Linked DNA regions of Oryctolagus cuniculus. The protein of the gene in region 4 purifies or fractionates together with the protein of the main gene of each other region. This does not show direct contact. Links are inferred from orthologs where the notes say so. Each region holds a gene or a part of one and is shown on either strand. Other genes may lie near its edges. The genes, in order: C1QBP, CSNK2B, PARD6G, PRKCZ, NIPSNAP2, LLGL2 and LLGL1.

Region 1 (4,358 bases), on a different chromosome or scaffold from region 4:
TATGTTTACCCCTGTAACACTGAGGTAGTTTTTAATATAGTATTTAGTTTTCTATTGGGCTTTTAAGGAAGTTATTTTTTTATCATAGCTGCTCAGGGATGAATCCAGGTTGGAAAGCCCACCCTAGCTCCACGTCACTAACACAGAAATAAGACCTGTCTGTCGAGCTGCAGGGGATGCTACACCTTAAACTTAGCGCTTTCACAGTGACACTGCACCATAGCCCCGAGCTACCCTTTCCCACCTCCTCTGAGCGGCTGTGTGCAAACAGTGTCCTCAAGCAGGCGGCGTGGGGCGTGGCTCAGGCGGCTGTCCTGCTTACATCATCACAGAGGGTGAAACGTGGGGTAGGGCACCTTTCCTTACAAGGGCGAGGACCCCAATCCCTGTCCTTGATAAAAAGCTTTCATGCTGCAAACCTGCTGACTGGGAAGGAGATGCCAGATGAGGACAAGGTTTTGCTCGGGGAGGGAAATTGCACTGTGATACCTAAATCCTCCGTCCACTACGGATGTGGCCATGCATCTCTGACACCAGTGCTTTAGCATAAGAGAAAGCACGGGCCCCGTGGGCGAGAATGTTATGTTGTATTTCATAAGAATATTGTAACCTGCAGAGAAATCCCGAGGGAGGGAAAAAATCAGGTTGGCTCAGGCGTACGTTGTATTTTGAGTCTTAAATAAAGCTATGAAAAGATCAACTCCTGTGTATATATATAATGCTCACATTCGCACCTGACTAGCAAGTGTCCATTGAGAACAAGTCTTGTACATGATGCATGTCCCTTCTTTCTTGTGTGTCCTTGCCCTTATTCACAGAAAGCTGTTTTGAAAATATTAAGTATTAGCCTTACGATTGCCACAAAGCTAGGGAGACATTTTCTTGGTACCTTCCACACCCTGGCGAGTGCAGAACCAGATGTTAGCCATGGCTTCTGGCTCCCGGCAAAATGACTTTGCCTGAGAACTTGGATGCAAGGCCGGAGGGAGCAGGTGAAGCCAGTCACGAGAGGTTAACCATGGGCACCGCGCCTCGCGCCTCTGGGTCTCACCTGGCTGCAGTGAGGGGAGTCAGCCAGGCAAGCGAGCAAAGCCAGGGCTTGATGCACACGAGAGAGCAGAGAAGGCCTGCGAGAGGTGTGCTGCCGTCGAGTGTGGAGGACGTGTGCAAGCCTGGCGCGCTCTGAGAATTAACCACAAAGCTCTGCGCACCAGACCCCAACACACTCCCGGGGCGGTCCAGGAATCCGGATTCGAGGCTGCACCGGCGGTCCCCGGCAGAGGGCGCCATCCGGCCCGCGGTGCCTTCGGTCTTTGGAGCGCCGGCGGCGGGAGACGCTTCCGGGCGAGGGCGGGCTTCCGGCGGCGGGAGGTCACTTGGGCGCTTTGGCCCGGGTCGTCCGTCGCCGCCGCACGTGTCTGACGCCGTCCGCGCGATGCTACCGCTGCTTCGCTGCGTGCCCCGCGCCCTGGGCCCCGCCGTCGCCGGCCTCCGCGCCGCGGCCCCGGCCCCGCCGCTCCGGCCGCTGCTGCTGCCCGCGCCCCGGCCTTGCGCCCGGCCGTTCGGGCTGCTCAGCGTGCGCGCGGGCTCGGTGCGGCGGCCCGGCCTCCTGCGGGCTCGCGAGCCCTGCTCCTGCGGCTGCGGCGCGCTGCACACGGAGGGTGAGGGGCTCGCGCGTGGCGTGGGGGACCTGATTCCCGACGGCGACTGACAGCACCGCTCCCCGGCTCCCCCGGCCCCGGGTGCGGTTTGGGGGGTGGGGTGCTGCGGCGCTCGTGACGGAATTGGCTTCTCCGGGCGAGCGGATGCAGCTGCCCGCTTCCAGGCCGGATAGCGTTGGGGAGGCGAGGCGGATGCCGGGCAGAGGGCGGCGGTCCCCGGGTCCCCGGGTCCCCGGGTCCCTGTCGGGTGCTTGGCGCTCCTTGACGTCTCCGCGATTCCTCCCCAGGAGATAAAGCCTTTGTGGATTTCCTTACCGACGAGATTAAGGAGGAGAAGAAAATCCAGAAGCATAAAGCCCTTCCCAAGATGTCTGGAGGCTGGGAGCTGGAGGTGAACGGCACAGAGGCTAAACTCGTGCGCAAAGTGGCCGGGGAGAAGTAAGTGCACGGCGCGCCCCGGGGTGCGCGGCGTGGGGCGGCCTCTGGCTCGGGACCCTAAGCTCGCTGGAGCCACATGTCAGCCACCCCGTGTGACTTCACAGCGGGACCCTTCCGCAGCCGCCCTGTCCCTTCTTCCCCCTCCGGCCCCTTGAAACCGCCAAGCTGCCTTCTCTGGATTTGCCTGTGTGGGACATTTTGTGTGAGTGGGAGTCATGCAATATGTGGCCATTTGTGTCTACCTCCCCCCCCCCCCCCAAGATTGATTTATTGGCTTGAAAGGTAGAGTTAGAGACGTCTTCCATCCACCCCAACAGCCAGAGCTGGGCCAAGCTGGAGCCAGGAGCCAGGCAGCAGGCACTTTTTCCATGTCCTCCCACGTGGGTGCAAGGGTCCAACACTTGGGCCAGCTTTTTTTTTTTTTTTTTTTAAGATTAATTTATTTGAGAGGCAGAGAGTAAGAGAATTACAGAGAGAAGGTTACAGAGAGGCGTCTGAGCAGGGAGCTGGATCCAAAGCAGAGCAGCCTATGGGTGCCAGCGTTGTAGGCAGCAGCTTAGCCAGCTGTGCCACAACACTGTCACCCCCGCACCCCCGTTGTTTTTGAGGTTCATTCATACTAGTAATAGCATGTACCAATAGTTAGCTTTTTTAATGACAACATAATATTTCATTATGTGGATATGCTAGATTTTATTTATGTAAGGAAATGGGAGACAGACCAGAGGAGACAAGATACGAAGTCAACGGCCAAAATCAATTAAGAAGAAAAATGGGAGCCAGCGCTGTGGCATAGCACGCTAAGCTGCCACCTGCGGTGCCTGCATCCCATATGGGTGCCGGTTCAAGTCTTGGCTGCTCCACTTCTGACCCAGCGCCCTGTTTCTGCTCCTGGGAAAGCAGCGGAAAATGGCTCAAGTGCTTGGGTCCCTGCACCCACATGGGAGGCCTGGAAGAAGTTCCTGGTTTCCATCTGGCCATTGTAGCCATTTGGGGAGTGAACCAGCAGATGGAAGATCTCTTTCTAACTCTGTCTTTCAAATACAATAAATAAATCATAAAGGAAAAAAAAAAAGACAAGTGAATTTGCAAAGATGGCCAACCACTGGCATGCGCACAGACAGAACACGTGGCCGAGAGAGCAGGAATTTATTTACGGGCTGGATTTAAATAGCATAGGCCTGATAAGGGCCATGAGGTGCAGTGGAGCTGAGCTAGCTTTTCTATGGAATGCAGAATGCAGAGGGTAGGGTGGGCAACAGTACAGGGCGTAGGACTGAGCTGGTCTCTTGAAGGAAGGTAAAGGGTCCCTCAGGCAAAGAGCCACAATGCCTGAGGCTCATGTCCTTGTTCTGTCAGTTATCCATTCATTTGTTGGCAGGCATTTGACAGGGTTCTATTTACTTTGTGATTCTGGTTTTTTATTTATTTATTTTTTTAATTTTATTTATCTGACAGATAGTTATAGACAGAGACAGAGAGAAAGGTTTTCCTTCCGTTGGTTCACCCCCCAAATGGCTGCTACGGCCGGCGCTGCGCCAGTCCGAAGGCAGGAGCCAGGTGCTTCTCCTGGTCTCCCATGGGGTGCAGGGCCCAAGCACTTGGGCCATCCTTCACTGCCTTCCCGGGCCACAGCAGAGAGCTGGCCTGGAAGAAGGGCAACTGGGACAGAATCTGGCGCCCCGACCGGGACTAGAACCCGGTGTGCCAGGCGCCGCAATGCAGAGGATTAGCCTATTGAGCCACAGCGCCGGCCTTTACTGTCGTTTTGAAAGACAGATAGCTCCCATGTGCTACTTCACTCCCTAAATATTGAAATGTCCAGGTATAGGCTACGCTGGAGCTGGGAGCTGAATCCAGGTTACCAGGTTATTGCCTTAAAGGTGGGCTTTAGATATTCTGGGTGCAGTTCCCCTTATCAGACACAGGGTGTGCAAGTGTTTTCTCCCATCCTTGGGTGTTTTTTTCCTTTCCCTATGTTATTGGTATTGACATACACTTTTTTTAGTTATTGTTTGACTACACCAAGTGAACTATTTTTTTAAAGATTTATTTATTTATTTGAAAGAGTTACGCAGTCACTCCCCAGTTGGCCACAACGACCAGAGCTGTGCCAATCCAAAACCAGGAGTCAGGAGCTTCTGCGTCTCCCACATGGGTGCAGGGGCCCAAGGACTTAAGCCATCTTCTATTGCTTTCCCAGGCCATAGCAGAGAGCCAGGTATGGAGTGGAGCAGCCGGGTCTCAAACTGGCGCCCA
Region 2 (4,232 bases), on a different chromosome or scaffold from region 4:
GGTTGTCAATAACGCTCAACTCAGGACAGACACACCCGACCCAGGTCCCTCAGCACGGAGCCCGTTCGTACCTCCCACCTCAGAAGGCCCGAGCTCAGGGTAAAACGTGGGGCTCTCCTGTGCAAGGCCGTGCCCGACTTGATAAGAACTAGGAGGGTTGGCCAGGGCTCACTGAGGGTCCCCGAGGGCAACGTCTGCGACCCGACTCGCCTCGCTTCTTCCCCCGCCCCCTCTTGGCCCCTCAGTCCAGTGAGCATACGACTCTATTTCCCAGGCTCCTGGCCCCGAACGCCTTACTTGGCTTCCGCTTCCGGTGGCGCCTCGCTGTGCCCCGCCCCCGAGCCGCGTCCTCGGGGGCCTCGCGACACGAGGGTCGTGAGTGAGCTGTCCTGGGATTCGTAGTTCGCTTTTCCCTCGCTTCGCCGGTCTCTCGCCCTAGCGGACTCCATCTCCCAGCGTCCACCGCGGCTCTCGCCCCTCGGCGCTTGCGCGTTGCCCTCTTCCCCACCCTCCCCGATTTCCACTCCCCCCACCCGACTTCGCCTGCCGCGGTCGGGTCCGCGGCCTTCGCTGTAGCGGTCGCCGTCGTTCTTTGGAAGCAGCTGTTCCCCTCCCCCACCCCGGTCCCGCTCCCCGTCCAGCTGGTGAGTGTGAAGTGGTTGCCCCGCGGAGTTCCCGGTCCCTAGGAGCGGCACATGGGGTCTCCCCGCCTTGAGGTGGGGGCGAGGAAGGAAGTGACCCGGTCCGTAACCGTGGGAGGGAAGGGTGGCCGGAGAGCGGGAGGCAGGCTGTGGGGACTCCGTGAAAGAGTACCTGGCGGTGCCCGCCCCTCGCCCCGGGTCGTGAGAAAAGGAGGTGTCGGTCGTTGCTTGGCAAAGATAAACTTCTAATTCTTGGGGAAGGGTGCCGGAGCCCTGCGGTGGTAGGGAGCCCGAGCCGAGGACTCTGCCAGAGTTGACACAGGCGAGAGGGGTCTGGCCATCGGGGGCGCGGGGGATGTAGGTAGGGACTGCTGGGTCGGTACTTGTGGGCTCCTGCCAAGGAATTTCTAAGTTCATTCAGAGAAAAGGGGCCGAGGTGTAAATAACAAGAGCTAGAGAAGCCTGTCCCAAAGGCTGGGATCCTTTAAAAAAAAAAAAAAAAAAAAGGGTGGCCCCAAATTCTTCCATGGCTGAAAGACAGAGTGTGGGAGGAGGGAAGGTGCCAGAGCCGGGGAGGGAGAGCTTGGACTTGACTCCTGTTTCCAGCTGACGTGAAGATGAGCAGCTCGGAGGAAGTGTCCTGGATTTCCTGGTTTTGTGGGCTCCGTGGCAATGAATTCTTCTGTGAAGTGAGTGCTTTTCGTTCTTCCTACTCGCTGGTTCCATGCGTTCAGGTTGGGTATCTTCAGCTTTTGCACACTTTATCCCGTGGAAACTCCTTCCCGTGAAAGAAGGGGTCCCCTCAGTAACCCCCCACTAATCAGCGGCGATGTGGCAAGACTGGGGCCCAAGTCCCATTTCTGTCACACACCCCACCGCACCCCCAGGAGGATAACATTGAACTAGTCAGACCATCTTTTTTTTTTCTTTTTCTTTTTTAATTTTTTTATTGTACTTAAAGTATCTGAAGGTAGAGCAACAGAGAAAGTGAAGGATCTTCTGTCTACTGGTTTATGTCCCAAATTTCTACAACAGCTACTGCTACCAGCCAGGCTGAAGTAAAGATCCCAAAACTTACCTGGGTTTCCCATGTGGGTGGCAGGGACTCAAGTACTTGTGCCATCACCCTGCTACCTTCCAGGGTGTGTGTTAGCAAGAAGCTGGAATTGGAAGTGGAGTTGGGACTTGAACCTGAGCATTCCAGTTTGGGATGTGGGTTATCTCTAACCATGTAGGAACCACCGTGCCAAGTGTCCTTTCTCCTTTGCTTTTTCATTACTAGAATGCTACTGGTAGTGCTTATCTCTGGGGGCTGTTAGGAGAATTGGAATACTGCACCTTAAAATGTTCTGTAACATGCAAAGCTCTGTGTTGACATAAGGAATTCTAACCACCTTCAGAAACCAAGCTGTTCAGCCTCCACCTTCCTCAGAGAGCAGCTGTTCCCTCAGGAGAGGACAGAACTGGTTCCTAGAGATGAGGAACAGGACTAGAGACGCGGGAGTCGAGTGTGTCTCTAAGGAGACTGCTGTGCTTGCTTGTCCTTGGAGGAGAGAAGCTGGAGCTTTCACGGGGGGGAGGGCGTGCGTGTGAACTCGGGACAGCGGCTGAAGTACTGACGCTGAGTTGGAGTAGGAAACAGGCAGACCAGACGCAGCCGTGTGGCCGACAAGGCGTTCGTTAGGTGACCTTGGCCAGCTCAGAAGCTGGGGGTCCCAGTAGGAGTTTTCCTCTTGACCTCCGTGTTCTACCAGGTGGATGAAGACTACATCCAGGACAAATTTAACCTTACCGGCCTCAATGAGCAGGTGCCTCACTATCGACAAGCTCTAGACATGATCTTGGACCTGGAACCTGGTGAGACACCCTCAAGGTTCATGGTGGGGGGGCTGTTTTTCTCTTCAAATTACCTCTTGAATTTACCTCTTGAATTTCTAAACTTCCTTTTGGTTCTCTGACACCCTTAACCTCAAAGTCCCAGCAGCATTTTTGCCCCCCTCCTTGAATTCTTGCCTAGTTTTGTGACTGATAGCACTTGCTGCCATACTTTCTGAATTTGTAGCTCAGCGCTCCTCCTTATGCGAGTTTCCTCGCGGGTCTTGTTTACTGCCTCTTTGCCTGCCTTGCACCCTCCAGTCTAGAGTTCCACCTTCTGTGTTGACATCTTTGTATTTACGTACTAAGGAAGGAGTTGGGAGGGAGAGAAGAGAGCAGAGGCTGAAGAGGTGTGGAGAGAAGGCTGGGCTTCCTTGGGTTGGTGGAAGGGGCAGAGACCCAGGTTAAATGCCCACGTGAGGACTGGGTGAAGCTCAAGGATGGGTGCTGGGCAAACTGGGCAGCCAACAGCCCTGGGGGTGGGCGGGGCACCTGGGAAAGCTGGAACGCCAGTGGTTGCATGTGGCTGGCCCATATTTCAGACGAAGAGCTGGAAGACAACCCCAACCAGAGCGACCTGATTGAGCAGGCGGCCGAGATGCTTTACGGATTGATCCATGCCCGCTACATCCTCACCAACCGAGGCATCGCCCAGATGGTGAGGCCTCTCTGCGCCTGCGTGACTCCTTGTGAGGCAGTAAGGGAAACAGGTTCCTACAGTGAGCAGTAATCTGGCAGCCCTGTCAAGGAGTCGAGCTGAGATGAGAAAAACCCAGAGTTTGGGCCGGGAAACTGAGTCCTCCCTGGACGTCCTGCTGAGGGGGTGTCTTCAGGGAGGGCGATGTGAGCTTGGTCAGAGTTGTGGACTGCTTCTTCCTCAGAGAACAGACGGCAAATGGCCCTGGATGTCATTAGCCTCCCTAACTGGGGGGAAAGTTGGTGGGCCCCTTTGATCTGCACAAGGACCTCCAAGAAGAGGGAGGAAATGTGGAGGACAGAGTTATGTGGGGGTCGCTGCTTATCCTCATACCCACCCACCAATCCCTTCCATTTTTTTCCCTTCAGTTGGAAAAGTACCAGCAGGGAGACTTTGGCTACTGTCCCCGTGTATACTGTGAGAACCAGCCAATGCTTCCTATCGGTGAGTATTGAAGAAGGGAGAGGGGGCACCATCTGGCAGTCCTCTGGGAAGGAGTTGGGCTCAGCAAGGCGGGAGCTGAGTTCTGGGGCAGGGGACTCGGCAGTGTCGCGGGTGCCTGGCCTGCTGAGTCTGGCTGTCTCCCAGGCCTGTCGGACATCCCAGGTGAGGCCATGGTGAAGCTCTACTGCCCCAAGTGCATGGACGTGTACACACCCAAGTCATCGAGGCACCATCACACGGATGGTGCCTACTTCGGCACTGGTTTCCCTCACATGCTCTTCATGGTGCATCCCGAGTACCGGCCCAAGCGACCCGCCAACCAGTTTGTGCCCAGGTGGGGAGCAGACAGAGTCACCATGTGTCAAAGGAAAGACTCAGAATCCCCCAGAGAGAAGGGTGGGCGGGGCCTGGCCCTGTCCTGTGGCCAGCTGCTCCAGAGCCAGGGCTTCTTCCTGCTGAGGGACTGTGGGAAAGTTAGTTGACAGCCTGTGTCTTAGCTTCCTTGTTCTTAGAGCAGGGATGATAGCAGCACCTGCCTGATAGTGTTTTTAGATATAGGAGTTGTTTAGAATGGT
Region 3 (4,543 bases), on a different chromosome or scaffold from region 4:
TGGAAACAGGTTTCCCATGCAACCAGCCAGCTTCCCAGCCTTTCCTTGAGCTGCTTCCGCCTGCTCAGCGGCCTGGTGCAGAACGGCGGGGCAACAGCTGACGCAGCGAAAGCAGCAGCCCTTGTCGGCCTTCTCTGTGACACCATTACCTGGGACCCCGTTCAAGTGCAGATGCAGCGGGTCTGGGGTGCGGCATCGCTAGCAAGCACCAGGTGGAGCAGGTGTTGGCCTTGGACCGCACTCTGAGCCATACACATTAAATACATGATCTCACCGCATCAAGCTGCTCCAGAGGCCAAATTCAGGGTCCGCAGCCCTCCCGTGGTAAGTCTCCACCCACTGCTGCCCTGCTGCCTGCCCACCCCCCTCATCCCTGCATTTCTGAAGGTGTCTGGGTTGGCGTGTTTCCTCAGGGTAGTCCTGAACTGGAGCGTGCTCCCTGCTGCAACTGGACAGCCTGTGGTTTCCCTCGGGGATGAAGGTGGAAAGAAGTCCGCGGTGCACCTCTGGGCAGCCCTGCTTGTTTGGAAACCCGTGCACCTGCTGCCCTCTCCCGCCTGGTGTTCCTCTGAGCGCGGTGACTCATTCTGGACTACACCCTGGCATGGAGCAGGCTAAAAATGTCCCAAAATTAAATGAAAATTAAACTTGGAGTACAATTTGGTGTTCTGTATTAAAGATTTTAGAAATATAATTCAAGTTTTTTTTTTAAGATGTATGTATTTATTTGGAAGTCAGTTACACAGAGAGGCAGAGAGAGCAAGAGCGAGAGTGAGGCTTTCTGGTTCACTCCCCATCTGGTTGCAACGGCAGGAGCTGCGCCGATCAGAAGCCAGGAGCCAGGAGCTTCTTCCAGGTCTCCACGCGGGTGCAGGGACCCAAGGACTTGGGCCATCCTCCACTGCTTTCCCAGGCCACAGCAGAAAGCTGGATGGGAAAAGGAGCAGGCGGGACTCGAACCGGCGCCCATATGGGATGCCGGCGCCGCAGGCGGCAGCTTTACCCGCTACAGCACAGCGCCGGCCCCACGCAGCCTTAGCAACTTGTGTTTAGCGCCAATGCTCAGCCTACAAGCGCGCGGCAAGCCGGATAGGAGCACAGTCAGTCTGGCAGCGTCGCGGACAATGCGGGTGATTCTGACGTCGCCCGCCGCCTCCCCGCGCTGCAGCCAAGTCGCCGTCGCCCACGGTACCCGAGTGGAAGCTCGCACGCGCCGCGGTTCTAACCCCGCTCCGTTCCCTGCGGACGTCGCGGTCCGTGCTCTCGGGCACAGCCCCGCCGTGGACGCCCCTCCAGGGTCTCCCTCCCGGACCGCGTGGGACACGGCCCCAGTCAGCCTCGTCCCAGGCCGCCCGCTGCCAACTCCGTGGGGTCCCTCTCCTCTCGGGTGCGCGAGCGTGGGGAGCAAGCCGGCCGCCCGCCAGTGGCCCGGTGGGCGGGGTCTCCCGGGAGCGGGGCGGGGCGGGGCGTCCCGGGAGCGGGGCGGGTGGGCGGGGCGTGGTGGACGCGGCCCTGTGGGCGGGGCGTCCCGGGCGCGGGGCAGGGCCCGGGAGGTGGGGGGCGGGGCGGAGGCCCAGTGGGCGGGTCTCCAGGCCGCGGGGCGGGGCGGTGGCCCTGTGGGCGGGGAGTCCTGGGCGCGGGGCGGGGCCCGGGCGGCTCGGCGCGGGGAGGCGGGCGGCGCGCGCCGGCGTCCCCTCGCGCGCGGCCCTGGAGTCCCCGAGGCGCGCGGCCAGCGCAGCTCCGGGCCGCTGCACGCTGAGCAGCCGGGTGGCCGAGGCAGCGCGGGCCGGCTGCTCCCCAGGCATCCTCCTGCGGCCCCTGAGGGGCGAGGGCGAAGGTGAGGCGGAGCGGGGCCGAAACCATGAACCGGAGTTTCCACCGGTCCCAGACCCTGCGCTTCCCCGACTGCGGCGCGGTCGAAGTCAAGAGCAAGGTAAGCCCCGCGCGCCCCCCGCGAGCGCCCAAGCGGCGTCTGAGCCCGCAGCCGGGCGCCGGGGGCCGCTGTCCTTCCCGCCCAAGCGCGGACAAAGCCAGCCCGGGACGGTCTGCGGGCTGCGGCGGTCGGGGGCCGAGGCCGCCTGGGTCTAGGCGCTCGGAACCCACTCCCGGTAGCCGCTCTTTGTTCGGCGAGGAAAGGCGACCCGGGCGCGGCGCACGTTTGGGGGCGGTGTTTCCGGGGCGAGCTGGGGGCCGCCGGCTGCTCGGTCTCGGGGCCGTGCGGGGGCCTCTGGGGGCTGGGCCGGGGCCTCTGGGGGCCGGGCCGGAGGAGGGCCTTGGCCATGCCGCCTGCTTAGCTCCAAGAAGCCTTAGTCCCCGCGGGGGAGAGATCTGCCGCCGGCTCTCTCCTGGGCGCCCGGCCCCGACCCTCGCCCCCCGCCCAGCGCTCCGTGCCAGGCCCCCAAGCTCCGGACGCCTCCCCGGCCCACACCCAGACCCCCTGACCGCGCCCCCGACTCAGGCTCTCCCCCAACCACCAGGCGCGCCCCTGGCGCAGCCACCCAAGCCTCAGGCGCGCCCTCGGCCCAGAAACCCCAACCCGCAGGCGAACCTCCCACGTAGGCCCTGCCCCCACCGGGCGCGCTCCCGACACACACCCCGAAGACCCCGAGTACCGGGCGCGCCCCCGACCCAGTGCTCCCGGCGCGCCCGCCGCCTCCCGCCTGCGCGCCCCGAGCGTGTCCAAACTTGCGCCGCGCGAGCCTGGGTAATTGGCCGGGGAGCTGGCGCTGCTGCCTCTGCGCGGGCGGCCCCTTAGCGCCTGTGGGCGACCCCTGCAGCCTCTGCTGAACGCGGCGCGGGGGCCGCATCTTCGCGCCCTTGCATTCCCCTGCCCCGGCCTGGGTAGAGCTCTTGGCACAGCCGTCCGGGGGCTCAGGGCGGCGTTCCGAAGGGGTTGGTGTAGGTTTCCGGGCGTCGGCAGAGGATGGGACGCGGGCCGCAGGGAGCCTTGGGGTTTCCTGCCCCTCCTGGGACGCACCGTCGTCTTCTGAAACTGCCCCTCACCCGGGTTCTGGTTCCGTGGCCCTGAGTGCACACCGTCCCTGGCACCCGCCAGGGCCAGGGCCGCGTGTCGGGGCCGCCCGCTCTGGAGCTGCACCTACGGTAGGGTTACCAGGGACGGGCCGTGTCTGGTTTCACAAAGCTTTCTGTTCCCAGACCTTCGCTGACCCCGAGGTGGTTGTAGACTAGAGCCCGGTCCCCCTCTCCCGGATGCTGAGGACAGCTAGGACCTGCGCAGGGCCGTCGCTGACCCCGAGGTGGTTGTAGACTAGAGCCCCGTCCCCCTCTCCCGGATGCTGAGGACAGCTAGGACCTGCGCAGGGCCGTCGCTGACCCCGAGGTGGTTGTAGACTAGAGCCCCGTCCCCCTCTCCCGGATGCTGAGGACAGCTAGGACCTGCGCAGGGCCGTCGCTGACCCCGAGGTGGTTGTAGACTAGAGCCCCGTCCCCCTCTCCCGGATGCTGAGGACAGCTAGGACCTGCGCAGGGCCGTGCCAGGCCGAGCACCATCTGTGCTCATTTGGTGCCTGCAGATCTGAGATGCTGGCCACCTGCGAGGCCGGGGAGGGCCCCAGGACCCCTCCTGCTGCCTGCTCCCACGGCTCTCTTGCCTCAAGTGTGAACTGATAACCCAGTGCTCCTCCCCCAGGCCTTGTCCCTTGCCTCAGGGTGGGGAGGGCAGCAGCCTGCCTTTGAGGTCTCTCAAGTGTGACCTGCCCGCCTCCTCCAGGCTGGCTCTGCGAACTGGGCTTGGGTCTAGCTCAGACGCTGCAGGTGCTGTCCTGGAAGTGAGAGGCAGAACTACTGGCCTTGGCAGGGCTTGGGGCTGCCCGAGCTCTTTCCGCGCGTCCCTGGGCTCTTCCTTCCGCTCGCCCCTCCGTGGTTACTGCTCATTGCCGTGTAGCCCACCTCCACAGGCGCTGCTTGTGGGGAAATGGCCTGCGTGTTCTGCCACTGCCACCCGTGCAGGCTTCTGCAAGGTGTTTGACTTCTCCAAGGCCTAGCTGTTCCGCCTGGGATGGGCGTGGTTTCTGTTCTGCTCTCCTCCCAAAATAAAAGGAGGCAGTGGTGACAGTGACCGGGCGCCCACAACGTAGGAATGCGTAGGGTGTGTGTGTGTGTCTCCCCAACCCCGTCCCAGTCCCCAAACGGCCACACCTTACTCCAGCCACTCGGGTTCCTGTCCAAGCCGGCAGTGTGCACTTGTGCTCATGCTGTGGTCTCCTCACACGAGGCCTGCAGGGAGGGAGTACTCGATGTGCAGGGGAGGGGGACAGGCCGCGGCCCCTTCTGAGGGTGACAGGGAGGCCGGTCTCCGTGCAGACTAACCAGAGAGGAATTTTCCCTTGAGAAGACTGGAAACTACGCAGGACCTTATGAACTCAGCAGTGTCCCGGACTCCCTGCTGTTTCCAGCCCCACCATCATCCACACACAGTCTCCAGCAACAGAGGAGCCCAGCCCAGAGCCCCTCGCGGCTGCGGATGACCCCGGTCTCAGCCTTCTCCTGGCTTAGGTGTTGATGACCCACTGCATGGGGTCTC
Region 4 (3,803 bases):
GGTCACGGGGTGGGGAGTGTGCAGAGCCGTGTGGTGGGGTCACGGGGTGGGGAGTGTGCAGAGCCGTGTGGTGGGGTCACGGGGTCAGGAGTGTGCAGGGGTGCGTGGTGGGGTCACGGGGTGGGGAGTGTGCAGAGCCGTGTGGTGGGGTCACGGGGTCAGGAGTGAGCAGAGCCGTGTGGTGGGGTCACGGGGTCAGGAGTGTGCAGGGGTGCGTGGTGGGGTCACGGGGTGGGGAGTGTGCAGAGCCGTGTGGTGGGGTCACGGGGTCGGGAGTGTGCAGGGGCACGTGGTGGGGTCACGGGGTCAGGAGTGAGCAGAGCCGTGTGGTGAGGTCACGGGGTCAGGAGTGTGCAGAGCCGTGTGGTGGGGTCATGGGGTCAGGAGTGTGCAGAGCCGTGTGGTGGGGTCACGGGGTCAGGAGTGTGCAGGGGCGCGTGGTGGGGTCAGAGGTCACAGGAGCGTTGCAGAGCCGCGTGGTGACCCTGCCCTGTGGTCTCCCGGGCAGGATTCTGTCATGCCTTCGCAAGAGCCTCCAGTAGCCGACAAGAGCGACGACGCGGACCTTCCTTCCCAGGAGACTGACGGAAGTAGGTGCCGCCCTCTCCCTGCTGGGCAGAGCGCAGCCCCTCACCCTGGGCCCTGCCAGCCTCCCTGACCCACTCAGCCGACAGCGTGCCACGGGCACATGAGGGCCTTGGGCAGGGACATCGCCATGAGGTGCGGGGTGGGCGGGGACAGCTCCATGGGGTGCAGGGTGGGTGGGGACATCGCCATGGGTGCGGGGTGGGCGGGGACATCACCATGGGTGCCGGGGTGGGCGGGGACAGCTCCAGGAGGTGCGGGGTGGGCGGGGACATCGCCATGAGGTGCGGGGTGGGCGGGGACAGCTCCATGGGGTGCGGGGTGGGCGGGACATCGCCATGGGTGCCGGGGTGGGCGGGGACAGCTCCATGGTGCCGGGGTGGGTGCGGGGTGGGCGGGGACAGCTCCAGGAGGTGCGGGGTGGGCGGGAACATCACCATGGGTGCCGGGGTGGGCGGGGACAGCTCCAGGAGGTGCGGGGTGGGCGGGGACATCGCCATGGGTGCCGGGGTGGGCGGGGACATCGCCGTGGTGCCGGGGTGGGGGCTGTGCACCGAGTGCCGGCTCCAGGGGTTCTGGACAGCAGCCAGCAGCGCGCCCTCAGCTGGGCGCTGCGCGGAGCCCTGTCCCCAGGGAGCCCTGCGGGCCTGCACACGGCGGGGCAGCCTGAGTGAGCTTTTCTTTCCCGGCGTGGAAGCGGCTTCGTCTAGTTGGGACGCATTCGGAGCCGCGCGGACGGCCCCCGTGTGGGCTGGGCCCGGCGTGAGCCGCAGCGCTGGGCGGGGTCTGGCCCGGAGGGCCGCGGGTGGGCCGGACAAAGGGCACGGGCGCTCGGAGGGCCGAGCACGGCGCAGGCGCGCGCCGTGGCGGGGTCTGCGGCCCGGGAGGTGCCCCCGCCTGAGGCGGCTCTGCTCTCCCTCAGTCGCTTTCATCTCCACCCGGAAGCAGGACAGCGGCCAGGAGGACGCCGAGGTGAGTGCCGAGGTGGGCGGGACCTCCACGAGGTCGCCCCAGAGGGCCCCGTCCGCGGCCCCGCCCTGACGCGCCCCCCCCCCCCCAGGACCTCAAGCCCGTGATCGACGGCGTGGACGGCATCAAGATCTCTCAGGGGCTCGGGCTGCAGGACTTCGACCTCATCAGGGTCATCGGGCGCGGCAGCTACGCCAAGGTCCTCTTGGTGCGGCTCAAGAAGAACGGCCAGGTCTACGCCATGAAGGTCGTGAAGAAGGAGCTGGTCCACGACGACGAGGTGGGCGCCGGACCGTGCATGCGCCGCCCCCATGGCCGACACACACGGACCGCGCATGCGTTGCCCCCATGGACGACGCACACGGACCGCGCATGCGCCACTCCCACGGACGACACCCACATCCCACGCGCGCGCTAGTCTCACTGAGGACGCCCACATCCCACGCGTGCGCTAGTCTGAGGACGCACACATACCGCGCATGCGCTGCTCCCATGGACGACGCACACACTGCGCATGCGCTATTCCCATGGCGGCCGCGCGCGTGACGCGCATGTGCTGGTCTCGTGGCGGCTGCGCGTGAGGTGGGCGCGCGTCTCGGGTGGGCCTGAGGTGTGCGCGAACCGCGGTGGCGGTGGCGGTGGCGGTCGCAGTCTGTTACCGCTTGGGGTCGAGTCGCCGGCTGCGCGCTCGGCAGGGTCCGAAGTCGCGGGTGATGGCGTCTCTCTAAAGCAGCTTCCTCAGCCTGATGCTCCCTGGAGGGCGCGGAGCGGGCGCGGGTGCCCGCGTGGCCGCAGCGCCCGCGTGGGAGGCAGCCGGCCAGGGAGGAAGTGCGGTGCGCGCACCCCCAGCGAGGGCGAGGGAGCCCTGGCCCGCCGGCCCCCCAAGCCTGTGTGCTCCGCGCCCCCAGGGAGCCCCTGCCGGCCCCACCCGGGTCACACAGGGCGGGGGCTGCGCGCGGGGAGGGGCCACGCAGAGGTGGCCTGGGGTCCTGGTCACCCAGAGGCCTGGGGTCCTGGGCTCCGAGATGGGACTGGGCTTTCCCCGGGCCGATCCCAGCGGCGGGGCACAGCAGGTCCCCGGGTCCCCGTCCCTGAGCCTCGTCTCTCCGACGGCTTCCGCCCCTCAGTGGGGTGACCCAGGGAGCCCCAGACCCCCTCAATGGGGGGTGACCCAGGGAGCGCCAGGCCCCCTCCGTGGGGGGTGACCCAGGGAGCCCCAGGCCCCCTCCGTGGGGGGTGACCCAGGGAGCCCCAGGCCCCTCAGGTGGAGGAGGTGACCCAGGGAGCGCCAGGCTCCCTCCGTGGGGGGTGACCCAGGGTGCCCCAGACCCCCTCAGTGGGGTGACCCAGGGAGCGCCAGGCCCCCTCCGTGGGGGGTGACGCAGGGAGCCCCAGACCCCCTCCGTGGGGGGTGACCCAGGGAGCGCCAGGCCCCCTCCGTGGGGGGTGACCCAGGGTGCCCCAGGCCCTCTCCGTGGGGGGTGACCCAGGGAGTGCCAGGCCCCCTCCGTGGGGGGTGACGCAGGGAGCCCCAGACCCCCTCCGTGGGGGGTGACCCAGGGAGCGCCAGGCCCCCTCCGTGGGGGGTGACCCAGGGTGCCCCAGGCCCTCTCCGTGGGGGGTGACCCAGGGAGCCCCAGGCCCCCTCCGTGGGGGGTGACCCAGGGTGCCCCAGACCCCCTCAATGGGGGGTGACCCAGGGAGCCCCAGGCCCCCTCCGTGGGGGGTGACCCAGGGAGCCCCAGACCCCCTCCGTGGGGGGTGACCCAGGGAGCCCCAGACCCCCTCCGTGGGGGGTGACCCAGGGAGCCCCAGGCCCCCTCCGTGGGGGGTGACCCAGGGTGCCCCAGGCCCCCTCAATGGGGGGTGACCCAGGGAGCCCCAGGCCCCCTCCGTGGGGGGTGACCCAGGGTGCCCCAGGCCCCCTCAATGGGGGGTGACCCAGGGAGCCCCAGGCCCCCTCCGTGGGGGGTGACCCAGGGTGCCCCAGGCCCTCTCCGTGGGGGGTGACCCAGGGAGCCCCAGACCCCCTCAATGGGGGGTGACCCAGGGAGCCCCAGACCCCCTCCGTGGGGGGTGACCCAGGGAGCCCCAGACCCCCTCCGTGGGGGGTGACCCAGGGAGCCCCAGACCCCCTCCATGGGGCGTGACCCAGGGAGCCCCAGACCCCCTCAATGGGGGGTGACCCAGGGAGCGCCAGGCCCCCTCCGTGGGGGGGTGACCCAGGGAGCGCCAGGCCCCCTCCGTGG
Region 5 (3,803 bases), on a different chromosome or scaffold from region 4:
TGGAGTCTACGTCTCTGAGTAGATTCACATTACTGCATTTTCTTTTCCATAGGAGGTTGACATCTTCCAATAACAGACCTCGAGAAGACAGCTGGTTAAAATCCTTGTTTGTCCGGAAAGTTGATCCAAGAAAAGATGCTCACTCTAATCTCCTAGCCAAAAAGGAAACAAGCAGTCTATACAAGTTACAGTGTGAGTGATAAATTAGCTGTCTTTACGGGGGACTTTTTCCCCTGCTTTGTTCATAAGTTTGTCATGGGATTTTCTTCTGTTTCAGTTCACAACGTTAAACCAGAATGCCTAGATGCGTACAACAAAATTTGGTACGTATACCAGACTATCTTGTACTTGGGGGAAAAAGTACACTTAATATTGGTTAGTTCAGCTAGTACTTGGTCGTAGAGAGAGAGATTTTCTTTCATGCCTGTCATTAAAGCCGAGTGTTCAGAGGTTCGTCAGTCATGGCTCTGTGTGGGGTTGCCAGCGGCATGGCGGCTTTAAGCACGCACACAGCTAAATCCTCACATTGTCTGTCAATCTTCAGGGTGTTACCAGGCTCATAAGGCTGGGAGGAACCTGGCAAGGTCATTGCTCATCCAGTGCTTGAGTCCCTTCCTGCAGACTCTCCTGCCTGCCTGTGCTTAAATCAATCTCTGGGCAGCTTTGAGTGTTAGGAATTGAACTCATGTCTTGGTGATCACCATCGTTTCCAGTTTTCCTCCCGGGTAAGACTGCCGCGTGAGAGTCCTGGCTGTGGTTGAGCACAGCTTCCACTTCTTCCCAATTCTTCCCTCAATAGCATCTAAGTCCCTTTGGCTGACGGTCCTATGATATGAGAGCTGTACCCCCTTCAAAAAGAATTGGTAAACTTTAAGACTAGAGGGAGAATTGAGTTAATTAGCAGAGGTGGTATTTTAATGAACACTTGTGAGCAAATATAATGAGAAAGCAGATGATTTTGTCTCCAGAGTCAGTGTAATTCTCAAGAGAAAAAGCTTTTGTCATTCTATTGTTTTGTTTGTGGAAGTGTTCTGTGAAATGTAACATTAGCATAGAATTTCTTGCCCTTGTCAGCACATTTCTCTTTATTTACAGAATGCCCTGCAACAAAGTAGATGCTTGTTTCTAAATACCCGCTACCCGCTCATAGAATGAAAAAGTTTCTCTGTGCTGATGTTCCCCTCGATTGTTTTTCCTGTCCTGTTTTTATCACTGCATCTCCTGTCTCAGATTTCTGGCTGTCTGTTCATATTTATATTTGGATGTCTTGCTCTCACTTCAGACTGGACGTGTAGAATCACCTTGCCCTCCCGACTTTGCTGTCTGTGCGCTCACCATGTTTTACTGCACCCTTTCCTTAGTTCTTTGTGATGAGTTGGTCACTGAGGGCTGTGCGTCCTTCATTTGACGTGTGTTGTGGTTCTCTTTGCTCATTTCCTCCTCCGTCTCCGTCTCCAAGCTGTTGAGCCCCATTCCTGAGTCATCTCCTTTCTGACTGCCTCTCTGGGCTCAAGACTGTAGCTGTGTCTCCACCCCACCCCGCAGTCCATTACCCAAAAGTTTGTCAGATTGATCTGCTGAGTTCTGTTTTCTCCCTCATCATGTTTTTTTTCTTTTTTTTTCTTTTTCTCCGAAACTTTCAGCAGCTCCCTGTTTCCTGAACATAAAGACTTAACTCCTGCCTGGTTTTTAGGGGCCCCAATAATGAGATTCTGCCCAACCCATCCAGTTCTGGGTACAAGTACTGCCTACCTTACAACCTCCGTTCAGGTAAGGCAAGGGCTTCCAAGAGCAGGTTTGGGGCCCCCAGCAAAGAGGATTGGCTACAGACCCATATATGACTTTGACTTGGTGGAGAACCCAAGCCCCCAGCCCCTTTCTGGACCCCACCTGGGTCATCTGTACCAACTTCCTTCCTCTGCGTTGGCTCCAGTTCAGGGTGGTTTTCTTCCTGCACATGTCACATGCCAAAAAAAGAAACCCATTTCAGTTTCCCAATCATCATTCATCTTTCCCTACCCCTGATTTCTGAAGATCAGATCATCTTAAAAAATAAATGCCAATCTTCAAAAAATACACATGGTATGGTCCTCGTACTGGATCATAAATACATATGGTTTTTCAGTTAGACATGCTGTTTGGAGTTTTTCTCTGCTAACTGTCCATACACACCTGGTCCTGATGCCCCAGGTGTGGTGGTAGTCACTAATTTAGTATCACGCCACATCGGCAGGTGATTTGAGCAAGTTCCATGTCTGAGCCGTGATATCCTTTGGCATCCACTGTTGAATCTGTATTGGATTTTCTTCACATAATGTTTCTATTCAAGATTGTGTAGGCTTTAGCTTTTCTCTTGGAGTAGAACAGTGATGCCTCTTGGCTTTGCCTTCCCCGGTACATTGCAGTCTCTGATAGGAAGGGTCCGTGGAATGAAGCTCTGCTCTGAGACACTGTTAATTTAGTGCACTGCCGTGCCACTGCTCCACGCACTCAGAGGTGATGGCTTGGCCGCCGCGTGCAGTGTGACTGTGACACTCGGATCCCCTCAGCTGGTTGAGGTGAATAGACCCTAACTTCGGCTTTGCGTTGTATCTTTAATTCTGATTCTTCTGCCACGTTGGTGCCTTCGGGACTGTTGGAGATTGGGGTTGCTTCTGTGTTGTGTTCTAGCCCTGTCTTCCTCCTCCCTAAGGCCAGATTGTCCTCTCTTCCTGTCACCTTTGCCTGCTGGCGCCACCTGTGTCGTCTGCCTCTGTCTTGAACATTCCTTTCTTCCCTTTCTTCATTCCTCCACGCTCTTTTCTAGTATTCTCATGTCTTTCATTCTTCCTGTCTTTGGAACCAGCAGAACTTAGCTTTTATAAACATCACATTCCTCAGAAGCTTTGTTTTGTTTTGTTTTGTTTTCCCCTGAGATGGCAAATAGTAGACCTGTTGCTCCTAGAATCTTGGGACCATTGGCTCTTCTTTGGCATTTTTGTCAGTATGCGTGGATTGCTTACAACTCTTGTAGATAGTTGGGGTATCAGACAGTTGAGTGGGTTGCTGGAGTGCAGCAGAATTCAGCTATAAGTTAATTCCACATGTCATCTTATCATGAGTATGCCATGAGGTCCGTTGCCAGGAAGAGGGTATGTAGCCTTCGATCCTGTTACTGACTTAACTGTTGTCCACTTGGTAAAATGGTGTGCGTTGTTTGACTAATGCTGCTTTTCCTTCTCTTTAAGTCAAGAGGTATTGCCAAAGATTCATGAAGATAAACATTACCCTTGCACTTTGGTGGGGACTTGGAACACGTGGTATGGCGAGCAGGATCAAGCTGGTAGGAAGCACAAGTCTTTGGAATGAACACTTCTTCCTTAAGCCCAATATAACCACTTAAGTCGTTTTCTAATTCGGTGCCTGTTTTTTGTAATCCAAGCGTTCTGAGTCTCGGTCTCATTTTATGGTTAAAGTAGTTTCTTCAATAATACATTGCAAAAACTATTCTTCTGTTGTTTTTAATGTTTGGGTCTATTACTGAATCTTTGTGGTGTAGCTTACCAGCCAACACATGGTGTATCACAGTTTAGTACTTTATTAATATTGGATATTTCTTGGGTATTTTCAAGATAAGGATATCATGAAACTCTAAATGTCCACTGTCTTTTAAAATGCATTTCAGTCCACCTCTGGAGGTATGAAGGAGGCTACCCAGCACTCACAGAGGTCATGAATAAGCTCAGAGAAAATCAGGTAATGATTTTGAAAAAATTTTTGCTGATTCACACTAAAGATAACACTAGATGTTAGTGCAGAATTAA
Region 6 (3,803 bases), on a different chromosome or scaffold from region 4:
TGCAGGGTCGCCTGTGTTCCTGTCCCTGCTGTTAGGCTCCAGGCTGTCAGTGGAGCTCACCCTGCCCCTCCCCGGCCTGACCCTAGCGTGGGCCTCCTCCCACCAACCCCCGGCCTGGCGGTAAGGCAGGCAGGCACTGGGTTTGCTAAGCTGGCGTACTAGCTGACCCAGGACCTGGGTCTGCGTTCTGAGGCCAGGCGGCCTCGGCTGCCTCATTGTTGCACTTTTCCTGCAGGGCAGGGTCTCTGTGGTTGAAAAAGTGGCTCACCAGGCTAATCCTCCGCCTGTGGCGCCAGCACCCCGAGTTCTAGCCCCGGTTGGGGTGCTGGTTCTGTCCCGGTTGCCCCTCTTCCAGGCCAGCTCTCTGCTGTGGCCCGGGAGGGCAGTGGAGGATGGCCCAAGTGCTTGGGCCCTGCACCCCATGGGAGACCAGGAGAAGCACCTGGCTCCTGGCTTTGGATCAGCGTGGTGCGCCGGCTGTAGCAGCCATTTTGGGGGTGAACCAACAGAAGGAAGACCTTTCTCGCTGTCTCTCTCTTACTGTCTAACTCTGCCTGTCAAAAAAAGAAAAAGAAAAAGCAAACGAAAGAAAACGGTCCTTCATGCAGCTGGCTGGCACGCTCAGCTGTGCGGGTCGGGACCCCCGGGACAGGGGGAGGAGGAGCAGGACCCACGCGTCCTGGTTTGCCCACCTCCATCTGTGCTGCAGATGTCACTGGGTCATCGTCTCAGGCAGCAACAGCAAGAGCCCACGTGCTCCTGCATGCGGTCGGCAGTCGCAGGGCCTGGGAACGGGGCGCGTTGGAAACCACGGCCTGGGGAGACTGCGGCTCTTCCAAGGCCGGTGAGAGCTTTGCACGGCCTGGCCGACTGAAGTGGAAGCGCGGGCTACCAGGCCTTCGGTGTGCGGGACCTCGCACACGTGTCTGCACGGCGGGATCCCGGGCACGTCTGTTCCCACGTGTGACGCACACTCACGGGTGTTCCCAGGCCCAGAGGGTGTCCTCGGAGCCGTTAGCAAGCGCTGCTTGTGGTTGTGAGGGACCGGCTGACTTAAGCTCTCTCGCGTAGTCTGGGCCTAGCGTGTACTTCCGTAGTAGGAAACCGACAGAAGCGTTCATCTGCAACAGCGCTCCGGAAACTCCTCCCTGGGAGTTGCCTGGGGGTCCTGGTGGCGACAGGAGATACAGGGCTGGAGGACCCGCAGCCCAGGACCCTGCAGGCCCAAGCCCACCGTGTAACCAGGCGGCTTTCCCGAGGGCTCGGGGTCTCTGCTGTGCTGGCCCCACACACACTTCCCCACTCCACACCCCCACAAGGCCCCCGACTACTGCAGGAGGGCTGGCTGGGGTCCCCAGGGTGCTGATGCAGGCTCCAGCTCAGTTTCTGGAGAGTGTGAGTGTGAGATGGCCAGCGTGGTGTCAAGAGAGAAGGCCCCTGGGCTGTCAGACTGCCAAGGACAAGGTGGAAACAAACTGGGGCAGGGGCCGTGTGGGTCTGCGTTCAGCTCCAACATCAGGTGTCTGGGAAACTAGGGGGACTGAAGTGCTCTGGCTGGGGTGGTTCTGGGCTCCTCCGGTCCCAGCTGCTGTGGGCAGAGGGGACCCAGGGACGCTGTTTGCCTTGCAGACGGTGGAACATGGCTTCCCGCACCAGCCCAGCGCCCTCGGCTACAGCCCCTCCCTGCGCCTCCTGGCCATCGGCACGCGCTCCGGAGCCATCAAGCTGTATCCTTGCGAGGGCCCCTGCGGTGGGTGAGGTTCAGGGGAGGCGGTCCCTTCCCTCTTGCCCGTGGGCTGTTGGGAAAAGGGCACAACTTTGTCTGATTCCCGCCTTTGGAAGTGACTTCCTTGGAGGCCGACGGGGTGGGTATGAGCTGGCCAGCTGCTGGCCTGTCCCTCTGGGGAGGAGGGGGAGGTTTGAACCCGAGGCACGGTTTCTTTTGTCTCCTGCGTCCGCTCAGGGCCAAGAAGCTGTCCCCCCTCCTTGTAGCTTCCCTCCCTCACCCATCGCTGGAAGTTTCAAAAATCAGTCTCAACTGTGCAGGAGCCGTGAGCCCCAAGGAGAGAGGCCCAGCCCCTCCCTCCTTCTGCCCTACAGGGCTGAGCCGAGGGTCTCAGGGAGGAGGGGCCTGGAGAGTTTTCCTGAACTCTGCCCAACAAGGCGATGGCTGGGAGACACCAAAGGGGTCTGCCTCCCCCAGTTCCACTCCCCCTCAGAGAGGCAAGTTAGAGGACTTCCCATTTCTGTGGCCCGTCCCGCGGTTCCGTCCACGAGCAGAGACAGGGTGGCCTCGGGTGAGGGCAGCACTGGGAAGGCAGCTTCGCCTCCAGGTTCTAGCCCCCCCCCCACAGGCACACACCAGAGGGTGGAGACCCCTGCTGGAGGGCACAGTCCCCACCCAGCCCCCCCACCCGAGCCTGAGGCTGGTGTCCTATTGGGTCATCTTTTATCCAGAATCGGCCTTGTTCTGGGCTGGCTTGGGGCTCCAGGTGGTTCCACGGCGAGCCCCCAAGTTCCAGAGAGGATTGCTGTGAGCTTCTCCAGCCGCTCTGGGCTGGACCACAAATCTGAGTGCCTCCTCTGCCGTCTGACCTGCACTGCCAGGGGCGGGGCCTAGGGGAGCAGAGCCCCTTGGATAGCTCGGCTGGCGGCTGGCACTTCCTGCAGCGGAGCCCCAACTCCTTCCTGTTACCCTGCTGCAGCTTGGGGGGCGGGGCTGCTGGCCTGCTGTGTACACAGCGGAGCAGGGGCCCAGATCCTCCTGCTGCCAGCTCAGCCCTCCCCTGGCTGGTTAATCATTGCCGGGACTCGGCCGGATCCTGGCTACCAGTGCCTGGTGCCACGACTCGTAGGCAAAGACTGTTGGGGGTGGACACAGGGGTGCCACCAAGCAATGGATGGTCGATCAGTTTGGGGAAACAGGTGTGGCAGCCAGTGGCCAAGACTGGGCCTCGCCTTCCTTTAAAAAAATAGGAGGGCAGGGGGACAGTGTTGTGGCGTGGCAGGGAAAGCCACTACCTGCAACAGCGGTGTGCTATGTGGGCACCGGTTCAAGTCCCGGCTGCTCCACTTCCAGTCCCGCTCCCTGCTGATGGCCTTGGAAATGCAGCAGAAGACGGCCCGAGTGTCTGGGCCCTGCCACTGCTGGGAGCCCGGAGGAAGCTCCTGACGTAGACCTGGACATTGCAGCCATTTGGGGTGTGAACCAGCAGGTGGAGGATCAACCAACCTCTCCCTCCCTCCCTCCTTCTGACTTTCAAATAAAGATACAAGTTTATTTGAAAGAGTGACAGAAGAAAGAGATCCACCATCTGCTGGTTCACTCCCCAGATGCCCTCAGCCAGCCAGGGCTGGGCCAGGACCCAGCCAGGAGGCAGGAACTCCGTGTGAGTCTTCCACGTGGGTGGGAACCAAGTCCACGAGCCGTCACCGCTGCGTCCCAGGGTGCATCAGTAGGAAGCTGGATCAGGAGTGGAGCAGCCAGGACTTGCCCCGGGCGCTCCAACAGGGATGTGGGTATCCCTCTCCTGCCACAGCAGCCGCCCAGAGCTTTACCTGAGAAAACTGCCCCTGCTCAGGCCACTGCTCTCTCTCCTCACCCCAGGCCCTGGACGTGGTCCTGCTGTGCCAGGGTGTCTGTGCTCCTTGCGAGGGGCCCTTGCACGGGGCAGATCGGGGCGGGGGTCCAGCCTTCAGAGCTTTTCCTGAGCCTTCTGCCAGCTACGGCGCCCCAGGGGTGGAGTTCATGGGGCTGCACCGGGAGAACAATGCTGTGATGCAGATCCACTTCCTGCCTGGCC
Region 7 (2,523 bases), on a different chromosome or scaffold from region 4:
CTCCAGGAGGCCAGGGCGTGAGCGGCCCCTGCCTGGCCCTAGGTGCACCCTTCACCCCAACGACTCCCTGGCCATGGAGGGGCCGCTGTCGCGCGTGAAGTCGCTCAAGAAGTCGCTGCGCCAGTCCTTCCGGCGCATCCGCAAGAGCCGTGTCTCGGGCAAGAAGCGGGCTGCCACTGCCAACAGCAAGGTGGGCTGGGCCGGGCGCCGCCCCACTCCCCTCCCCCCGCCGTCCCCTCGCAGCAGCCCTCAGCCCTTGGGGTGGACGGGGTGGGCTGGAGGGTGGCGGGCGGGCACCCCGGGGCGCAGGGCTGAGCCTCAGGGCCGCTCCGCCTGTAGCTGCAGGAGGCCAACGCACAGCTGGCGGAGCAGGCCTGCCCCCACGACGTGGAGATGACGCCCGTGCAGCGCCGCATCGAGCCCCGCTCTGCCGACGACTCCCTCTCGGGCGTGGTGCGCTGCCTCTACTTCGCCGACACGTTCCTGCGAGATGGTGAGGCTGGGGTGGGAGTGGGGGCCGGGGGGCGCGGGGACTGTGCCTCCAGGGTTCCAGAATGTTGTGTGCCAGGGTGCCCTGGTGGCCACCTGCACGGTCCCTCTGTGGGGGCAGCTGGAGCTGGGCAGGCCTCAACGAGTTCTGGGGAACAACGGTGAGAGGCAGCGGCCAGTGCCAAGGCCCTGTGGTCGGCCGCGTGGGGGACTGCCCCGCCCACAGCTGGACGGAGCGAGGGAGGCGGAGGGCAGGATGGCTGAGGGCCCAGGGAGGCCCGATTCCTTGATTGGCTTTTAACTCATACTGTGGAGGATTTTAAAACGGAGAAGGCACATGGCTGCCCTGTGCTCCTGACTGATGGCCCCATGCCGCTGGTGAGCCTGTTGCACCCCGCACTGAGCCGTTTGGCTTCGCTGCGGTGCTTGAGGTGAGAGCCCGGGCAGGAGTCTGACACGCGTCCCAACGCCCACACTGCCTGCCTCGCCCACGTCTCAGCACAGGCTCTGTCCAGGGGCTGCTGTCTGGTGTCAGGTATTTGTCACAGGCCTTTGTCCGATTTTCCTACCCCCTAAATGTGCCCGAAGCAGGTCACAGTTTTTTTATAATTAATTTTTTTTAAAGGGAGAGATAGACAAAGGGATTGTCCATCTACTGGTTCACTTCCCAGGTGGCCATGACAGGGCTGGGCCAGGCTGAAGCCAGGAGCCAGGAGCTTCTTCCAGGTCCCCCACGTGGGTGCAGGGGCCCAAGCACTTGGCCATCTTTTGCTGCCTTCCCAGGCGCACTAGCAATGGGCTGGATCAGAAGTGAAGCAGCTGGGACTCAAACCGGCGCCCACATGGGATGCCGGCACTGCAGGCAGCAGCATTACCCACTACGCCACAGCGCCGGCCCCAGGCATGGGGTTTTGACTCCCGTTCATGGTGGCCGAGGCTGGCAGCTGGCACCTCAGGGCTGGCTTAGGTCCGGCAGTGGGTCAGGGTGCTGTGTGGTGGGTGCCACACCTTCCTTGGCCCCTCCATCCTGCTCCGCGTCTCCAAGGAGTGTGTGGTGCTCGGCTGCCACAGCCAGAGCAGGGCTGATGGGTGGCCTGGGGTTTTCTGTGGTCAAGAGGCTCTGTCTCCCCACTGTGGGTGGGGGTGCGGCAGGGGCTGGGGTGGCCTGCAAAATGAGGATGGAGGGCGGGGGCTGAGGGTGCTGTGGGATGGGGCTGGAGGGGGCAGGGTGCTGTGTGGGGTTCGCAGATGGCAGCTGCGCCCGGGTGCCGGAAGTGGCGCGCCCTCTCACGGCACCCCCGTCTCCGCAGCGGCCCACCATGGGCCCACCATGTGGGCGGGCACCAACTCGGGCTCCGTGTTTGCCTACGCACTGGAGGTGCCGGCAGCCTCGGCGGGCGGCGAGAAGCGGCCCGAGCGGGCGGTGGAAGCCGTGCTGGGCAAGGAGGTGCAGCTGATGCACCGGGCGCCCGTGGTGGCCATCGCCGTGCTGGACGGGCGCGGCCGCCCGCTGCCCGAGCCCTACGAGGCCTCTCGGGACCTGGCGCAGGCGCCCGACATGCAGGGGGGCCACGCCGTGCTCATCGCCTCCGAGGAACAGTTCAAGGTGAGCGGGTCCTCGGGGCCCTGCCCACGTTCCCCAGGCCCATGGGAATGCCACCAGCCGGCAGACACCACCTTGAGACCCACACCGCGAGGCCGGGGTGACCCCAGATGGGGGAGGCTGGCCAGCGTCTGGGATGCCCTGCACTGGGGGAGGAACGTGTGTCCGTGTGTCCCGGGCATACAGGCGGCAGGGTGAGGGCCTGGGCCCGGCCAGCTCCGTGCTCACGGGCTGCCTGCCCGCTGCCAGGTGTTCACGCTGCCCAAAGTGAGTGCCAAGACCAAGTTCAAGCTGACAGCCCACGAGGGCTGCCGCGTGCGCAAGGTGGCCCTGGCCACGTTTGCGAGCGTGGCCTGCGAGGACTATGCCGAGACGTGCCTGGCCTGCCTCACCAACCTGGGGGACGTGCACGTGTTCTCGGTGCCCGGCCT

Evidence for each region.
Region 1: the proteins of PRKCZ (region 4) and C1QBP purify together in Homo sapiens (affinity purification with mass spectrometry; 5 studies listed by BioGRID and IntAct, with this or other methods). This does not show direct contact. The link is inferred for Oryctolagus cuniculus from reciprocal best matches to the Homo sapiens genes PRKCZ and C1QBP.
Region 2: the proteins of PRKCZ (region 4) and CSNK2B purify together in Homo sapiens (affinity purification with western blotting; 3 studies listed by BioGRID and IntAct, with this or other methods). This does not show direct contact. The link is inferred for Oryctolagus cuniculus from reciprocal best matches to the Homo sapiens genes PRKCZ and CSNK2B.
Region 3: the proteins of PRKCZ (region 4) and PARD6G purify together in Homo sapiens (affinity purification with mass spectrometry; 6 studies listed by BioGRID and IntAct, counting the BioPlex papers as one, with this or other methods). This does not show direct contact. The link is inferred for Oryctolagus cuniculus from reciprocal best matches to the Homo sapiens genes PRKCZ and PARD6G.
Region 5: the proteins of PRKCZ (region 4) and NIPSNAP2 purify together in Homo sapiens (affinity purification with mass spectrometry; 3 studies listed by BioGRID and IntAct, counting the BioPlex papers as one, with this or other methods). This does not show direct contact. The link is inferred for Oryctolagus cuniculus from reciprocal best matches to the Homo sapiens genes PRKCZ and NIPSNAP2.
Region 6: the proteins of PRKCZ (region 4) and LLGL2 purify together in Homo sapiens (affinity purification with mass spectrometry; 7 studies listed by BioGRID and IntAct, counting the BioPlex papers as one, with this or other methods). This does not show direct contact. The link is inferred for Oryctolagus cuniculus from reciprocal best matches to the Homo sapiens genes PRKCZ and LLGL2.
Region 7: the proteins of PRKCZ (region 4) and LLGL1 purify together in Homo sapiens (affinity purification with mass spectrometry; 6 studies listed by BioGRID and IntAct, counting the BioPlex papers as one, with this or other methods). This does not show direct contact. The link is inferred for Oryctolagus cuniculus from reciprocal best matches to the Homo sapiens genes PRKCZ and LLGL1.

Annotation. Positions count from the first base shown.
Region 1 is NC_091448.1:50,896,113-50,900,470, forward strand, and holds the start of C1QBP (complement component 1 Q subcomponent-binding protein, mitochondrial), read left to right. Parts: upstream 1-1,347; 5' UTR 1,348-1,435; coding exon 1,436-1,661; intron 1,662-1,948; coding exon 1,949-2,099; intron 2,100-4,358.
Region 2 is NC_091436.1:138,946,900-138,951,131, reverse strand, and holds the start of CSNK2B (casein kinase II subunit beta), read left to right. Parts: upstream 1-1,239; 5' UTR 1,240-1,258; coding exon 1,259-1,330; intron 1,331-2,395; coding exon 2,396-2,498; intron 2,499-3,058; coding exon 3,059-3,174; intron 3,175-3,581; coding exon 3,582-3,657; intron 3,658-3,801; coding exon 3,802-3,991; intron 3,992-4,232. UniProt on the Homo sapiens protein: Regulatory subunit of casein kinase II/CK2.
Region 3 is NC_091441.1:99,460-104,002, forward strand, and holds the start of PARD6G (partitioning defective 6 homolog gamma), read left to right. Parts: upstream 1-1,696; 5' UTR 1,697-1,861; coding exon 1,862-1,933; intron 1,934-4,543. UniProt on the Homo sapiens protein: Adapter protein involved in asymmetrical cell division and cell polarization processes. May play a role in the formation of epithelial tight junctions. The PARD6-PARD3 complex links GTP-bound Rho small GTPases to atypical protein kinase C proteins.
Region 4 is NC_091438.1:163,707,865-163,711,667, reverse strand, and holds part of PRKCZ (protein kinase C zeta type), read left to right. Parts: intron 1-508; coding exon 509-590; intron 591-1,507; coding exon 1,508-1,557; intron 1,558-1,645; coding exon 1,646-1,834; intron 1,835-3,803. UniProt on the Homo sapiens protein: Calcium- and diacylglycerol-independent serine/threonine-protein kinase that functions in phosphatidylinositol 3-kinase (PI3K) pathway and mitogen-activated protein (MAP) kinase cascade, and is involved in NF-kappa-B activation, mitogenic signaling, cell proliferation, cell polarity, inflammatory response and maintenance of long-term potentiation (LTP).
Region 5 is NC_091450.1:65,798,858-65,802,660, forward strand, and holds part of NIPSNAP2 (protein NipSnap homolog 2), read left to right. Parts: intron 1-52; coding exon 53-192; intron 193-277; coding exon 278-323; intron 324-3,227; coding exon 3,228-3,322; intron 3,323-3,664; coding exon 3,665-3,735; intron 3,736-3,803. UniProt on the Homo sapiens protein: Protein involved in mitophagy by facilitating recruitment of the autophagy machinery required for clearance of damaged mitochondria.
Region 6 is NC_091448.1:5,031,530-5,035,332, reverse strand, and holds part of LLGL2 (LLGL scribble cell polarity complex component 2), read left to right. Parts: intron 1-1,629; coding exon 1,630-1,727; intron 1,728-3,723; coding exon 3,724-3,803. UniProt on the Homo sapiens protein: Part of a complex with GPSM2/LGN, PRKCI/aPKC and PARD6B/Par-6, which may ensure the correct organization and orientation of bipolar spindles for normal cell division.
Region 7 is NC_091448.1:62,280,695-62,283,217, reverse strand, and holds part of LLGL1 (lethal(2) giant larvae protein homolog 1), read left to right. Parts: intron 1-42; coding exon 43-190; intron 191-339; coding exon 340-493; intron 494-1,799; coding exon 1,800-2,095; intron 2,096-2,341; coding exon 2,342-2,523. UniProt on the Homo sapiens protein: Cortical cytoskeleton protein found in a complex involved in maintaining cell polarity and epithelial integrity. Involved in the regulation of mitotic spindle orientation, proliferation, differentiation and tissue organization of neuroepithelial cells.